Ovis aries: one gene and its partner. The protein of the gene in region 1 interacts with the protein of each later gene in a biochemical or structural test. Links are inferred from orthologs where the notes say so. Each region holds a gene or a part of one and is shown in the gene's direction. Other genes may lie near its edges. The genes, in order: CACNA1H and USP5.

Region 1 (4,578 bases):
GGGGCACTAATTGCTCTTTGAGGGCCTTAATTACTGGTCATGGCCCTCCACCGCTAAGTAGCAGCATTAAAATAGAGTAAATGTTTTCATTTTCTTGAAAAGTTCACATATACAAGAGGAAGTGCTGCTGAGCAGGGACCGGCTGCGCTGGACACCCCCTGGGCCTTGCCTGGGAACTGCCATGGTCCTGCCTTCCTGCGTCTTCCGTCCCCCAAGGCCCAGAGGTGGAGCAAGGCGCAGGGCCTTCCGGGCTTTCCCTACCCCCAGCACGGCCACCCCATTCTGGTTGCGTCTCTGCAGTGCCATTGCGCAGCGCAGGTGGGGAAGCCCTGGTTGAGTGACCTTGCCAGGGCCTCTCCAGATCTGGGGGTCCCCACGTGGGTCCTCTCACCCACTCGAGCGACTGCTGAGGCCGGAGGCCCCTGGAGCCGCCCGTGTGGACCAGCCACCCCTCTCTTTGTCCAGCGTTGAGTGGGCTTGGAAGAAGGGAGGTCGCACTTGGAGCCACCAGACTGGTGGTCGTGGAAAAGTGAAAAGCTTGTGAGGTTTTCAGTGGCCAAGGGGTCCGAGTGGGACCCCGGAGCACAGGGGGCGGTGTGTCTCAGTGTGAGGCTGGGGGGCTGCGGGAGGGCCTGGGCGCTTCCCCGAGGTCCCACGCGGCTCGCTTGGTCCAGGAGGAGGCTGGGCGAGGGACAAGTTCGCAGAAAGCCGTAGGTGCGCTGTGCGCGCGCGCGCGTGTATGTGTGTGTGTGTGTGTGCGGGGGTGCGGATGCACGCGCACCCAGAATCCCACCCACGGATACAGCAGCGCATCACACGCGCGGTCACACCCAGGACACACATGCGGAGGGGGAGGGGCGCGCCCGCCGCGGTCTCGACCGCCGCGCACCGCCCACGCCTGCAGCCCCGCCCCTTCGCCGACCCCCGCCCGCGGCGCCAAAGGGCTCGGTGCGCGCCCCGGCGGGGAGGGAGCGCCCGCCTCCGCGGCTCCGGCCGCCCCCGCAGTTGGGGGCGGGGAAGACGCCGGCGCCGCCGCCCCGCCCCCGCCCAGCCTCTACGCGAGCGCCCCCTGGCGCCCCGCGCCCCGCGCGGGAGGGTGGGGGCGCGATGGGGGGCGCGGGGCGGGCCGGGCTCCGCCTTCCCGGCGGGGGCGGGGCGCGGCGGCGGGGGCGGGGCGCCCTCCGCGAAGGGGGAGGGGCGGCGCGCGCTCTCCGGGGCGGGAGCTGCCCCCCCCGCGCCCCCGGCCCGGCCCCGCCCCCGCCGCCGCGCCCCGCCCCCGCCCCGCCCGCCGCTCACTCCGAAGTTTCCTGCGCGGAGCGCGGACGGGATCCGCGATCGCTCGCCGCCCCGCCGCCCGGTCCGCGCCCCCCGCGCCCGGCGCCCCGCGCCCGTCCGCCTCGCGGAGCCCTCTGCGCCCGGCTGCCGCCACCGTCGCTGCCGGGCCAGCCGGAGCGGGAGCCGGCGGGCCGGGGGCGCGGGCCGGGGGCGCGGGCCGGGGGCGGCGGGGCTCCAGCCGGGGCCAATCGCCGCGCCGGGTCCGCGGTGACCGCACCGCCCGGGCCATGCCCGCGGGGACGCCGCCGGCAGCCGGAGCGAGGTGAGACGCGGCGAGGGCGCGCGCCCCGCTGCGCGCCGGGACCCTCGTCAACTTGAGGCGGCCGGCGGGGGAGCCCCCTCGGGCGCCGGCCCCCGCCCCGGCGGTGGGGGAGGGGCCGCCCAGCGCTCGCCGGCGGGAGGGGGCGGGGGGCGCATTTGTCTCTAATGAGAAAAGACAAAGACATCCCGGCGGCCGTGGCTGTTTCCGCGGATCCCGCGCCGCCTGAAGCGGGCGAGGGTGTCGTTCCCGGGACCTGGTCACCGCCTGTCCCCCGCAGGTGCTGCCAGCCGCTACCATGACCGAGGGCGTGCAGGCGGCCGACGAGGTCCGCGTGCCCCTGGGCGCGCCAGCCCCGGGCCCGGCGGCGGCGGCGGCGGCGTCCCCGGCGAGCCCTGGGGCCCCGGGGCCAGAGGCGGAGCGGGGGTCGGGGCCCAGTGCGTCGCCCCCCGAGAGTCCGGCGGCCGAGCGCGGCGCGGAGCTGGGCGCCGACGAGGAGCAGCCCGTCCCGTACCCGGCGCTGGCGGCCACCGTCTTCTTCTGTCTCGGGCAGACCACGCGGCCGCGCAGCTGGTGTCTCCGGCTGGTCTGTAACCCATATCCTTCCCGGGCCTCCGGGGGTGCGGGGATCCTGGGCACGGGGCTTCGGGGCGCGTGACCCCCTCCCGCGTGTGCCTCCCACGCCCGGGCTTTTTGGCCCTGGCGCGGTCTGGGTGCGCGGAGGACGCAGTACAGCGGCGCGAGGGGAGCGCTCCTCCGAGAGGCGGCCCCGGGCTGCGCTTTGTGGGGCAGCGGCCGCGGCTCTCTTGATCCGAACGGGGTGTCCCCGCTCCAGAGCCAGCTCCGGACGAGAGAGGGTGGAATAGAAGCGGCGAGGCCACTGCGGGCTTGGTGGCCAGGAGGGAAGTGGGCACTGCCTGCGCCCCCATGGGTGCCGGGTCAGGACGGGAATTCCTCCCTCCGGGTTTACGGGACCTCCGGCCTGAGGCAGGATCCTCACTGCGGTGGGGGAAGGGGGTGCCGGCGGGACCTCAATAAGGGATCAAAGTTTTCTCCCTGTCCGTTGCACTTGGGAGAGTCTGGGAGACCCTGGGGGCCAGGAGGCCCTGCGCTCTCGCTGGTCCTTTTCCGTGGGGAGCGGCGGTGACGTCGGTTGTGAACTCGCCTTTCCAGGCTGAACTCGGTGTTGGGGCTGATTTAAGTCATGCGCAGCTGGGGCTGGGGGGCAGGGAGGCAGCTGGCACGCGCTCCGCACCCTGGTGTCCCTTCTCCCGGTGCTTCCCTGACCCAAGAGGAAGGGGTCTCTCTTTTTGCTCTTGGTGAGAGCGACACACTTTCAGAGAAGGTTCTAGAGCAGAGCTGGGTCAGGCAGGGGGCATTTCTGGGACACAGCAGAGCTGGGGACCCCCGGCAGATGGCCTTTGGGGACTGTCAGCGGGCCCTGGCTCCCTGTGTCCTGGGCGATTCTCCCGCGGGCCCCTGGCTGCCAGGTGGCTGGGCTGTGGGCACCAGGCGTCCCCTCCCCTTAGCCTGGAGGGATTGGGTGACAGCAGGGTGGGGGACTGAGGAAAGGAGGCTGGTGGCGGGGAGACCTTGCCCGTGAACTTTCCCTGTCCACGTGAAGGGGACCGGCCGCGTGAGCGATGCGTGTATACATTTTTCCTACCTTGTGTGTCTAACTGTACAAACATCACATAGGAAAGAGGAATGTGTAGCAGGAAAGTAACAAACCCTGTCTTTTTTTTCTTTCCTGAAATCCAAACTGAGTCAGAGTAGCCAAAACCCGCCCCCCACCCCCAATGCCGTTGTGCAAGGGGTCCGTCGTGGCCTGGGTTGAGGGCCACGGCCGCTTGCCGCCCCAGCATGGCAGCAGGCTCCCCTGCCTGCCTTTGTCCCACAGCTCCTGGGTGGGCTTGGGGCCCCCCTCAACCCCCAGCAGCTGCCATGCTGAGCTTGCAGGGGAGCTGTAGGCTGGTCTTCGCTCCGAAACCCGGGGCATATTCAGGCCACCTGGTTTGGGCGGGAAGGTGGCCCGACTGGGTGGGGTACTGGGGTATACGGTGGGCACCCTGAGGCCCTGGGAGGGGAGGCAGCCCCCCTGCCGTGTCCTTCATCTGCAGGCACACGTGGGGACCAGTCAGGGAAGGACGGGAGCGGGGCCTGCACTTTCTCTCTCCTGACAGCCCCCGCGTCTGGCCGCCCTGTCCCCGTCCCGCCTGACCCTGTGTTCTGGATGTTCCGGGCGGGCTGCGTCCTTCGGGACGTCTGACAAGGTTGTTTGTGTTCCTCAGTGCAGGGGAAGGGGGGTGCCCCATGCGGGTGGGGGGGCCCCAAGGGGTGGGGGCTGGGGCTGGCAGGGCCACCTGCCCGTGTGTCTGTCCCTGGGCTCCTGGGGACTCCAGGAGCAGGAGGATGTCGAGAGGCTAGGAGGAGCCCTCCGCCAGGTCAGGGGCGGGGAATCTGGGAGTACCCTTCCGACTGGCAGGGTGTGGGGGAGCTCAGGTCCCAGTATCGTCTCTCCACAATACCGGGAGCTCTCCCGATTTCGTGGAGAGGTTGCCTGTGTTGAGTGTGGTGGGTTTGTCAGGGCCCTAGCGAGTAGGGACGGCTGTGATCTCCAGCAGGTGCCAGGCCCTGGTGCAGGGGTGTCTCGGCCACAGGGAGAACCTAAAATAAGACGGTGCGCCCGACGGGGGGCCGGTCCCCCCGGGGAAGCCCGTGGGCCTCAGCAAGCCTGTTCTGAGCACTTCAGGTTCCTTGTGAGAGGCTGGGGTTTGGTGGGTAGCCTGCAGTCTGCCGGAACCTACGTGGTGTCCATCCCAGGGCCAGAGGACACCCCTTGGCCTTGGTTCCCTGCCCTGTAGGTGGGTGTTATGCCGGTGGCACCCAGCGTCCTTTCTTGGAACCTCTCCTGCTGCGGAGGGTAAACTTGGAGAGGGAGATGGGGTGACTGGGTTTGCTTTGGGAACCCACACACCATGAAG
Region 2 (3,795 bases), on another chromosome or scaffold:
TGAACTGTATTTATCCTCCTGAGTGTCTTCTACCATCCTGTAGCTCCGTCTTGGGGCAGAGGCTTGTGTACCCTGCATGCTCACCTGTTTGGGAAGGGGAGGGAAGGTGAATTGCTGGAAAGACGTGGACCCCAAGTGTCAAACACATGTCTCCCCACTTTGGAGGGACCTGTTCCCTGAACTGGTAGATGAATGCTCCCTTCCCTTTTCCTCTGGGCCTGGCCGCAGCCCCTTCAGTGATCCTTCCCTTGGCTCAGGTACGTGGATAAGCTGGAAAAGATCTTCCAGAACGCCCCAACGGACCCCACCCAGGACTTCAGCACCCAGGTGTACGTAGCCGGGCCTGTGTGCCCTCTTTCTCTTCCATGACCCCCTGAAGTGAGCAACAGTGTAGCCTCTGGCCAGCTAGACACTTTCCAGTTGCTATCTTGCAAGCATGCTGTCTGCCTTGAGTTGGGTTCCCATGGAATCTAAGGTGGTTCACATTTAAGAGAGTTGTCTAAGGGGGTTTGAGCAGGGGTCAAGTTGGGGAGGTAAGGGCTAGATTGGTGGTGTCAGACGGAAGCTAAATGGTTCTCTTGGGTGATGACACAGGGCCAAGCTGGGCCACGGCCTGCTCTCGGGGGAGTATTCCAAGCCAGCACCAGAGTCGGGTGATGGGGAGCAGGTAATGGAGCAGAAGGTGGGTCTGGACCTCCATCCTTCTCAGGCTGTGGAATGGTGGGGAAACTGAGATCCATGTGGGAGGCGTCTAAAGAAGGCCACTTGGTGGCCTCTCGGGCCCCGGCTGAATGGCTGCCCCAACTCTGCCTAGGAAGTCCAAGATGGCATTGCCCCTCGGATGTTCAAGGCCCTCATTGGCAAGGGTCACCCCGAGTTCTCCACCAACCGGCAGCAGGATGCCCAAGAGTTCTTCCTGCACCTTATCAACATGGTGGAGGTGAGGACAGGGAAGGTGGGGGTATTCATTCTCCTCCTGTCTACCTGCACTTCAGTTCACTCCCTTCTTCCCGCTGCTCACCTGTTCCTCCTCCTCTGTCAGCCCCAGCCCAGCCCCACCCCAGTGACCCCAAGCACTGAGCCTTTCCTGAGAGTGGCGTTTGCACTTGAGGACACTTGTTATGCATACAGCCTGATGAAGGATGCTCCCAAAGAAAATGATAGGCGAGTGCTTAGTGCTTAGAAAGAAAGTACAGGGGACTTCCCTGGTGGTTCAGTGGTTGAGACTTCGCCTTCCAGCACAGGCGGGTGCAGTATCAATCCCTGGTTGGGAACCTAGGATCCTCCAGGCCAAGAAACCAGAAACAAGCAATACTGTAACAAATTCAATAAATACCTTTTTTCTTTTTTAATATTTATTGACTTGGCTGTGCTGGTCTTAGTTGCAGCACAGGGGATCTTTGATCTTTCATTGTGGCATGTGAACTCTTATTCGTTTCCACAAGTGGTATCCAGTTCCCCAGCCAGGGATCGAACCTGGGCCCCCTGCATTGGGAATGCTGAGTCTTAGCCACTGGACCACCAGGGAAGTCCCCAATAAAGACTTTTTTTCAAAAGGAGGTCCACATTCAAAAAAGAAAGTACAGGCACTTTCCCACGCAGTCCTGCAGTGCCAGGATGGGCCGGAACTGGCGGGTTGATGAGGGAAGGTTTCTGCTCTGGTCTCCCATCCCTGCACCTCTTTGTGCCCCTCTCCCTTCCACTCCCTTCTCTCCCTGACTCCCCAGTGACTCTTGTAGGCCCCCACCCCAGTGCTTGGCTGTCCAGACCTCCCCACCCTGCCTCTTCCCCATAGAGGAATTGCCGGAGCTCTGAAAATCCTAACGAAGTGTTCCGCTTCCTGGTGGAGGAAAAGATCAAGTGCCTGGCCACAGAGAAGGTGAAGTACACCCAGCGAGTGGACTACATTATGCAGCTGCCCGTGCCCATGGATGCGGCCATGAACAAAGGTGGGTGCTCTGCTACCCTCCCGGGGCCTGGGGTCTGAAGCCTGGCAGCGATGGGGCTTGGGTGCCTTTCAGGAGCAGAGCCCACAGTATCCCTGCTTACCAACCAGGCCAGGGTGTGGGATTAACCTTGCGCACAGCTGGTCAGCTGAGCCGTGCTGAGAAAGAGGCCAGGTTACAGGCAGACGTGTGTCTGGTGGGTTTGGGGAAGCAGAGGAGCTGAGATAGCCGTGGACTCAGAGGCAGTAGGCCAGGGATGAGCGGGGATGTGGCTCGGCCCCTCTGAAGGGTCCACCCACTTGCTTCTGTCACCAGAGGAGCTTCTAGAGTATGAGGAGAAGAAGCGGCAAGCTGAAGAGGAGAAGCTGCCTCTGCCTGAGCTGGTTCGGGCCCAGGTGCCCTTCAGCTCCTGCCTGGAGGCCTACAGCGCCCCCGAGCAGGTGGACGACTTCTGGAGCACAGCCCTGCAGGCCAAGTCAGTCGCTGTCAAGTAAGTCCTATGGGTCCCGGCCTCCGTCAGGGTCCTCCCCGAGATGCTGTCAGCCTCTTTTGCATCCTCTCATCCCTTTGTGGTCAGAACTCAGGCTTCCATCAGCTGAGGCAGGTAACCTGGGGCCTGAGGGGAACCGAGAGGGCCTGGCAGGAGTGGACTTGGATAACTGCTACATGTTACCTTGACCTGCCCCTGCCAGTCTTTTTCCTCTCTTGGGGTGGATGGGGTCACTTTTCAGGAAGCCTCTGTCTGCTCACTTCCCCAGGGCTGGCAGAGCATGGGCACTTAGGAACAGTGGTGGACAGAACTGAGATTTTTAGCACATAGTCTTACTTTTTGCTCACCCGTCACTGGCGTAAACTTGAGATCTGAGAAAGTGCTTTGGTCTCCGAGATTTCAGCCACCTGCCCCTTTGCTGCTCCTGCCCCTAAGAACCCCCATTCCCCTACTTCCTACCTTCTGCTACTGTTCGTCTGCAGACACTCTTGATGCCTGTCCAGGGCAGGAAAGGAATATGAAATTATCTTTAGTGTGGTTAGTTCTTCTACCTATGAGGCTGGACCCGGGTGGGGCTTTCAGGACAGCTTCTCTGGGTACCAGGCCATTCTCTCTTCTCTAGGACCACACGATTTGCCTCATTCCCTGACTACCTGGTCATCCAGATCAAGAAGTTCACCTTTGGCTTGGACTGGGTGCCCAAGAAACTGGGTATGGTTGCCGGGACGAGCAAGGGAGGTTACGCAGAAAATGCTAGAAAAAGAAGGGGCCTTGACATGTAAACTAGTGCTTCTTCAGCTTTCCTCTGAAAGGGGAAACATTATTAAGACTTTGATTTAAAAAAAAATTTTAACTACGTTTTTTAATTGAAGTATCATTGACTTACAACATGGTGTTAATTACTGCTATAGAGCAAAGCTATTCAGTTATATTAAATACATATATATTCCTTTTTAAATTTTTTGTTATGATTTATCATAGGATATTGAGTACAGTGTGCTGTGCTATACAGTAGGACATTGATGTTTAAGACTTCTTTGATTTTATAGTTATGACTTACACAAGCAAAAGTGGTTTTCATAGTTTTATACAGTTGGTAAGATGTTTTCATTCTGATAATCTTGAAATAGTTTGTTTTCACGGGTCTCACAGGCCCCTGACAACTTTGCCAACCCCAGAACTAGCTTCATTTCCTAGAGAAGTTGAGTCCCATGGAAGTATAGAATCGTTCGGTGGCATAGTCAGAGACCCCTCTCTGGCTCGTGGCTCATTAGTGGTAGATCTAAGACTGGAATCCTGTTCACTTGCCCACCCACCCCCCACCCAGCCTGTGGTTATTTTTATCACACTGTGATGGGT

Evidence for each region.
Region 2: the proteins of CACNA1H (region 1) and USP5 form a complex in vitro, tested with the Homo sapiens proteins (2 studies listed by BioGRID, with this or other methods). The link is inferred for Ovis aries from reciprocal best matches to the Homo sapiens genes CACNA1H and USP5.

Annotation. Positions count from the first base shown.
Region 1 is NC_056077.1:1,462,053-1,466,630, forward strand, and holds the start of CACNA1H (voltage-dependent T-type calcium channel subunit alpha-1H), read left to right. Parts: upstream 1-1,748; 5' UTR 1,749-1,892; coding exon 1,893-2,190; intron 2,191-4,578.
Region 2 is NC_056056.1:209,426,820-209,430,614, reverse strand, and holds part of USP5 (ubiquitin carboxyl-terminal hydrolase 5), read left to right. Parts: intron 1-257; coding exon 258-329; intron 330-594; coding exon 595-682; intron 683-814; coding exon 815-940; intron 941-1,455; exon of another isoform or gene 1,456-1,528; intron 1,529-1,795; coding exon 1,796-1,949; intron 1,950-2,261; coding exon 2,262-2,436; intron 2,437-3,058; coding exon 3,059-3,147; intron 3,148-3,795. UniProt on the Homo sapiens protein: Deubiquitinating enzyme that participates in a wide range of cellular processes by specifically cleaving isopeptide bonds between ubiquitin and substrate proteins or ubiquitin itself.